2 linked regions of the Nothobranchius furzeri genome follow. The protein of the gene in region 2 interacts with the protein of the main gene of each other region in a pairwise test. Links are inferred from orthologs where the notes say so. Each region holds a gene or a part of one and is shown on either strand. Other genes may lie near its edges.

Region 1 (3,523 bases), on a different chromosome or scaffold from region 2:
GAAGGTCACCTCTCTGTCTGCATCCAGGTCCTTCTTGTTCCCACACAGAATAATTACGATGTTGGGGCTCGCTAGAGTCCTCGCGTCTGTGAGCCAGTTAGTCAGAGTGTTATACGTCTCTCGACTGTTGGGAGGAAAAGACAGAAGTGTTTAATGTTGGCGACACATAACGCTAATAACCATAAACACTGTTATATAGGAGCCTGACAGTCACAGAACTTTCAAGGAAACATTTCTGGGCTGAAGTCACTGGTTTTGGTGGAAGTAGGGCCCCAGTTGCCATGGTAACATGAGGTCAGTGAGGTGAAGAAAAGGGTGTGGGGTCCTCACAGGGATGTTTAACAGCTGTTTTCACTAAGTAAAGACTGACGTAACTCTTTGTCCACTCTTTTTTTCCCCTGTAAACACTTGAAGCGTCGCCTCCTGCTGCCCACCTCTGCCTCTCCTGCAGACGCCTCTGCACTGATCTACAGCAGCTACTCTCTGCATTACTCAAAACACAACTCCTCAATAACAAGCTGGAGTTTGCCCAGTCCAGACCCCCCCATCATTAAATCATACTGCTTATGGACACGCTGTGAAGCCTATAGGTCAGAATGGCTAACAGAACAGAAATGGTAAAAGGGATGGTCGTGAAAATGAGAGGGTGTCTAATTAAAATTATTAGCAATTTCTGTCTAAGACTAAATTATTTCATATGTCGTTTGAATAGGAGAAAGAGCCATACTTTGGAGAACACTTATGCAAAGGCGAACGTTATTTTTGTCACAAGAAAGCCAGGATCAGGTCATAAACAGCAAATGATTCCAGGGTTTTTTACCTTGTGATGTCGTAAACAAGGAGCGCCCCTGCTGCTCCTCTGTAGTAGCTACGAGTTACAGAGCTGCGAAAAGAAAACGGACAAGATGCAAAATAAGCCGGGAGAGCACAGGAGGGCAAAAACAAACCTGTCTGCTCATATAAGTGATCACAAACCAGGATTTCTCAGAGCTATCACACCGTGACTCCATTTGGGTTCAATAAATCATGTTTCTGTGAGAGGTCGCCAAAACCTTCACAGGCAATATTATGAGCCGTTACCGAAATCGCTCCTGGCCCGCAGTGTCCCAGATCTGCAGTTTGACCGTCTTCCCGGCAACATTGACCACCCTGGAACCAAACTCCACGCCGATGGTGTGGTTGGAGTCCTGTTTAACTGAGAGGAAACAAACAACACAGAAAACTGAAATGCTTTTGCAGAGGGGAAGTTTGATTTGTGTGTCACCCTCTGTAACAGAATGAAGCATAAGGTCCAGCTTAAACATTCTGACAGTTTTAACGTTTCACACATCAAATAATGCACTATAAAATGCACCCGGAGCCCTGAATGACAGGTTTATTAGATATACGTCTACAGCCTTGGGAACCAACGCCGACTCTGTGACGATCAGTTCTGAAAAATGAGGACTTAACTGAGCTTTTACTAAACCAAACTACACAAGAGTGTATTTGTACTCCCAACAATATAAAATTACTGCTCAGATGGATTATTTTAATCAGCATTTTCTTTAAAAACATGGAAAGTTAAGAGTCGAGTCAGTGAACAGTAGTATTACAACTCTGAACCGATTTAATGATGACCTGCTCTAAGTGTCAGAAATCTAGACCCACACACGGTTCAAGACATCGTTACAGATTTACTCCACTCAGCAGTCATTCACTCTTCTTGTACCTCCCTAAAGTTTTCATTTCAACAGCATCAGTTTGGTCGGTTTATGTGCGAACAAATGAGCTGGGTTGGGTTGAGACTTACACTTGTTCTCGATGAACTGGTGAAGGAGACAGGATTTCCCCGCCCCAGCACTGCCGATCACCAGGAACTTGAAGAGGAAGTCTGCGAGCAGATGAGAGATGGAACGTCAACGCGACAGAAACACAGGTGGTAGTTGTGCAGCCCTTAGCCTCAGATAAACCCTTAATCCCGTTAAAGCCACTACTTTCACCAAACTCAAATTAGCCAGCTAATCACAGAGCTCTGGAATCATAAAAACCTTCATCAGTTATGAGTCCCGATGTTTGTCTGGTGTGAATTAGGAGCCCCAGACTATCACACCACCTCCACCATGCCTTACAGCTGGTGTGGTGTTGAGATCATTTAGCCTCCTTTCTGTTGTCAGACAGAGTCTAATGAGAGGATTTACCAGTGACTTTCGCACAGGAGCCACGTTGGTTTGGATTAACAAATGAAATAATCATTTAACTGCATTCTGTTTTTGCTCTGGTTATTTTTGTCTGATGCTTTAATGTGTTTATGAAAGAAGTGTAAGAAAAAAGCAAAACAGAACAAACGCGTAAGAAACTCTTTCAAAGAAGTGACTGAGGACTTTGAAAAAGGGTTTTATGTAGCCGCCATGTCAGGTTTAATGGGAAAAAAAATTAAGGTGGAATCAGTAAGAAAACCAAGAAAGAGGATATGTTTATAAGACCATGAGATCAAATTACATTTGCAAGGACACCTTCCCTCCTGAAAGTCTGTTTCAGAGAGGAAATAAAGACAAAGGGCAGCTTGGGTTTGCACACAATCACAGAGAAGTGCTGAATGGAAAAACAGATGCTGATTTACCAAGTAAAGAGAATATCTCGTTATGGTTTAGCTGCACAGATTGTTATTCAGCTCCTCCACGAGATTTAAACTCATTAAGCCTTGGAGGCACCTCCATCAGCGCGCGCACACACACACACACACACACACACACGCACACACACACACACACACACACACACACACCAGCAGATTGGTGCATTATCCTCTATAGAGGATTTTCTTCAGCAACACAAACTCAAGAAGTCAATTTCATGAGACTATGACCATCTCAACCACACAGAAGAAGAACTGAGACTCCCAGGTTAACAGATTTCTTGCCTCAGCTTTTCAGAATCCTCCCAGGATATACCAGAAATCCCCCCCCCCCCCCCACCCCCCCACACGAGATCTGCAAACAACTATCCAGCTGTCAATATGTCAAAGCCATAGAGAAGGCATAAGACAGCTTGGCCCTCTCCACATGCTATTGCATTCTTTACACATCAATATTAAGGAAGGCAAATGTCCCGTTACATCTGGCGTAGAAGTAACACAGCATTTAAGACAAAGAACATCACACCAACAGTAAAATATGGTGGTGGTAGTGTGATGGTCTGGGGTTGTGTTGCTGCTTCAGGAACTGGAAGGCTTGCTGTGATAAATGGAACCATGAATTCTACTCTCTACCAAAACATCCTGAAGGAGAATGTCCGGCCATCTGTTTGTCAACTAAAGCTGAAGCCATCTTGGGTGCTGCAGCAGGACAATGACTCAAAACACACCAGCAAATTCACCTCTGAATGGCTGAAGAACAACAAAATGAAGACTTTGGAGTGGCCTAGTCAAAGTCCTGACCTGAGTCCTATTGAGATGCTATGGCATGACCTTAAAAAGGCGGTTCATGCTAGAAAACCCTGAAATAAAGCTGAATTACAACAATTCTGCAAAGATGAGTGGGCC
Region 2 (3,586 bases):
TTCTCAGGCCCTCTTTGGTGCTCAGATCACACTTCGCTGGGATCTCCTCCTGACTCAGCCTTTGTGGTTGGCAGTCAGAATATGAAAAGGTGGTCATGTGTCTCTTTTAGGTTATTTTTTTTACACTAAACCAACAACAAGATGTCAGAAAAATCCATTCTTTCTTACCTAATTGGCTGTTTGGATTGAACTGAGCCATTTTTAATTCATGCCCTTTGATCAAAGCTTACACGATCAAAATGTTGGTTTCTACTGAAATGTATTCTAGACACACTTGTGCTTGAGTCATGTCGGACACTAAAAACTGAATTAGTAATAACTTATGGAAGTTTTTTTTACCTTAATGAATAATGTATAAACTTCTCCCTGCACAGATGTACATTGAGTACCAGAACTGGAAGTTTCTGGTACACCGGCATCATGGCCGTTTCTACCTTTAGGGAGATGAAGCTCGGCCTTTGTGTGTTCCCATCATGCAGTGCAACTGCAGAGCTCGTGTCTGCACCCTGGTTGTTGACAGTTTCCCTTTAAAACAACACCAGAGTGGATTCTTGTGCACAAGAGCAGCTGCAGGACTTATATATTTGGCACAAGCAAAACATATTTTTAATGTTAGCAGAGATATAATTACAGTTATTTTAATTATAACATGAATTTATGAACAATTGGTGTTTAAAAACAAAGGGAATTCTAATTTGATGGACATTGAAAATAAAAATACAAAATGCACATTTCCCACATTTTTAGGAGCCTACAAGCAGTCTTCCACTGCTTGTAGTCTGTGTGATGATGCATCACCTTGAAGGTGCATCTTCTCATCAAAGCTCATTTATCCTTGGACGGAGAACAGCGAGCGTTCCGGGAGTCATTAGCTGAAATGTCGACCCAGTCTGGCTGACCGGTAGTCCGCCCTGAGCTGGACAAAGGCGTGCAGAAGGTTCCGGTCCAGGTTGGTGAGCTGCTCCCCCGAGCAGACTTGCTTCAGGTTGTCGGGAGCAACCACCAGCAGGTTACAGAGGGCGTGGAGTGTGTCGAAGAGCTGCAGCACCAGAGGGACCTGAGGACGGAGACGTTACAGCAGATGCATTAAACTACAGGTGAAGTGAGCCAAGCCGCGTTCAAAGTTCCTCTCTCACCCTGAAGTCCTTGGCGCATCGTCGGTACTCGGCCACGTCGCAGATGGCCAACATGCCCCCCATGGAGCTGTAGCTGTACTGCTGTAAATGCTCGTGGATGAGTCTGTGAAAGCGCACCCCCAGCTCCGTCAGCACCGTGTCCACGTTTTTCCCATCCATGGACTTCCGCACGTGCTCCACCTGCCGACTGACGTAGGCACACACCTTGGAGCAGGCCTGCCGAAGGAACCAGGAGAATGGTTTGTATCATCAACAAATGTTTATCTTAAAACGATTCATTTTATTTATGGGGCGAGTCTCTCACTGAAGTGCACTGGATCATGACATTGTTCTCATCCTCAGGCCTGAAGTCCGTTTTCTTCTGCTCAGTGGTCAGGACGTGCTTCATCTGCCCCACCATGCAGTTCAGTGTTCTGTGTGACAGAAACGCAGATCAGAAGGTTTCCATTTACTCATGGAAACAGATTTTACACTATAAACACATCAACCTGTCGATTCCCGTGTCCAGTTTCACCTCCATCTGCTCGATCACTTCTTTCTTCTTGTGCAAACACTCCGCCAGCTTTGGGGAAGAGCTGTAGACGAGAGTGAATTCAAAGGCTAACCCCCTAATGAAAGCACTGCTCAAAAGTTAAGCATCACTTAGAAACTTCACTGTTTTTCATGGAAACACATAAAAGGGTCCTATAGTCGTGTTTATGTGCGTTTCCATGGAAAACAAAAACATTTCTTGGGTATTTGCTAAAGAATAAAGTACACAAAAACTAGAATGCTGGCTTGTATCCGACCTTATTAAAGGCATCAGCTGGTCATTAAACTGCTTGTCAAACAAATGGAAGATGGAGTTCGCCTGCTGAACCACGTCCAGGAAGTACAGGTTGGCATTCTTGGCATCAGATGAAGGAATCGCTGCAGATCAAACAGACGTGAGACCAGTCAGATCAAAATGTAGATGAAAGCATCATTTTTATCATTTACAGTAGGTGGACTCTTAAAAAAAATGTTCATTTTGAGAAATGATCTGGAAAGACCAGACGGACACATTCTGTTGTCACTTAGACGTTCGTACCTGCGAGGCCGATCTCCAGGGCGTAGTCGATGTGCTCCACACACAGATGTTCCACCAGCAGGAGGAAAATCGAGAAGGCGTTTTTGGGCAAATCAGAAGGATCTGAAAGCTGTTAAATAAAAAAATAAAAAATAAACATTTTTCCTTGAGATGCTCTCCACCAACGACCAATGAATCAAATATTATCTCAAAAAATAAAGTTTTAACCGCCTCTGAAGCACACAGTCCTGAAAAGACCTTATCCCCCTTCTAAATGATTGGATCATAACCCATCCATCATTGATCTGCACAGAACACTGTGTGTGCAGGACATGCTCGCACTCGGTGGAGCAGCCGAACAGGAAGAGAAGCTAGCTGAGCTGCTTTGGTGTCATGGACGAAATGTCCTGTTCCGTTTGCAAGTCTCATTTGTTTTACACATCCTGTTCAGAGTCTGGTTCTGTTCCTGTTGGGAAACGTTTAGGTGATGGAGGTTTTGTTTTGGGAATGAAGAGAAAAGTCTCAACTCTGCGTGGGAACGAGTGAGTGTGTGAGTTTATGTGTGCTAGGGCTGGGCGATGTGGCCTAAAATCAATGTCACGATATCCCGAGGATTTCACCTCGATAACGATAAATGTTCGATTTATTGCCTAGCCCTAATGTGTGCACTTCACCCTGAGCAGGCGGAAAGGACAGAGTTCAGTTCGTGTTCTAGAAGTTTTGTTTGTGCTGGTGGCAAAGAACCGTAGTGGTTTTGAATTTTAGAATAAACCAAGAAAGCTGAAAACTGGATTGTTTTTCACCAAAAAAAAAAACACCAAACGCCACAAAAGCTAGCATTCTAGTTTGGCAGAGGGGACACGCGGGAGGAGGTCTGCTTCGGAGTTGGATCTGAACATTTTGACCTTAGCAGCTCAGCAAACCTGCGTGTGTGTGTGTGTGTGTGTGTGTGTGTCACAAGCAGATGTTTTACCATTTTCTGACACCATCAGATTCTGTAACTCTAGGGGGGAGTTTGAAGAAAGGGATTGGTACTTAGATTTTTTGTTGTAGCTTGCTTGAATGCATTTTTCCAACAACACATAATCCATCTTTAAAGGCATACTATGCAACATTTTCCTTATTCTACATAACTCTCTCGAGCCAGTATGTGCTAAAATGACCTTTTACAGTGTTAATGAAATGCCACTAAGACCTCCACCGCCCTCTGTGGCCAGAATATCACACTTGCAACTTCAGAGTGCCGGTCCAGTCTCTGCTGAACTTAGTAAAGGGGAGCTGACATGCCTGGCACTGCAGTCTGCTTCCAACACGTTTCCTGTTTGTTTAGATCGTGAACACAGCTGATTTGTTTGATTTAGTGATGAATCACTCCTGTGGAATCTAATGAAGGCTGAGGAGA

The links.
Region 1: the proteins of exoc5 (region 2) and rab4b interact in binary tests that used the Homo sapiens proteins (3 or more experiments, as listed by UniProt). The two-hybrid records come from large-scale screens. The link is inferred for Nothobranchius furzeri from reciprocal best matches to the Homo sapiens genes EXOC5 and RAB4B.

The regions. Positions count from the first base shown.
Region 1 is NC_091753.1:41,301,658-41,305,180, forward strand, and holds part of rab4b (ras-related protein Rab-4B), read right to left. Parts: intron 1,874-3,523; coding exon 1,793-1,873; intron 1,196-1,792; coding exon 1,081-1,195; intron 884-1,080; coding exon 821-883; intron 125-820; coding exon 1-124. UniProt on the Homo sapiens protein: The small GTPases Rab are key regulators of intracellular membrane trafficking, from the formation of transport vesicles to their fusion with membranes.
Region 2 is NC_091758.1:32,180,884-32,184,469, forward strand, and holds the end of exoc5 (exocyst complex component 5), read right to left. Parts: intron 2,315-3,586; coding exon 2,206-2,314; intron 2,046-2,205; coding exon 1,925-2,045; intron 1,712-1,924; coding exon 1,625-1,711; intron 1,550-1,624; coding exon 1,441-1,549; intron 1,353-1,440; coding exon 1,137-1,352; intron 1,058-1,136; coding exon 869-1,057; 3' UTR 639-868; downstream 1-638. UniProt on the Homo sapiens protein: Component of the exocyst complex involved in the docking of exocytic vesicles with fusion sites on the plasma membrane.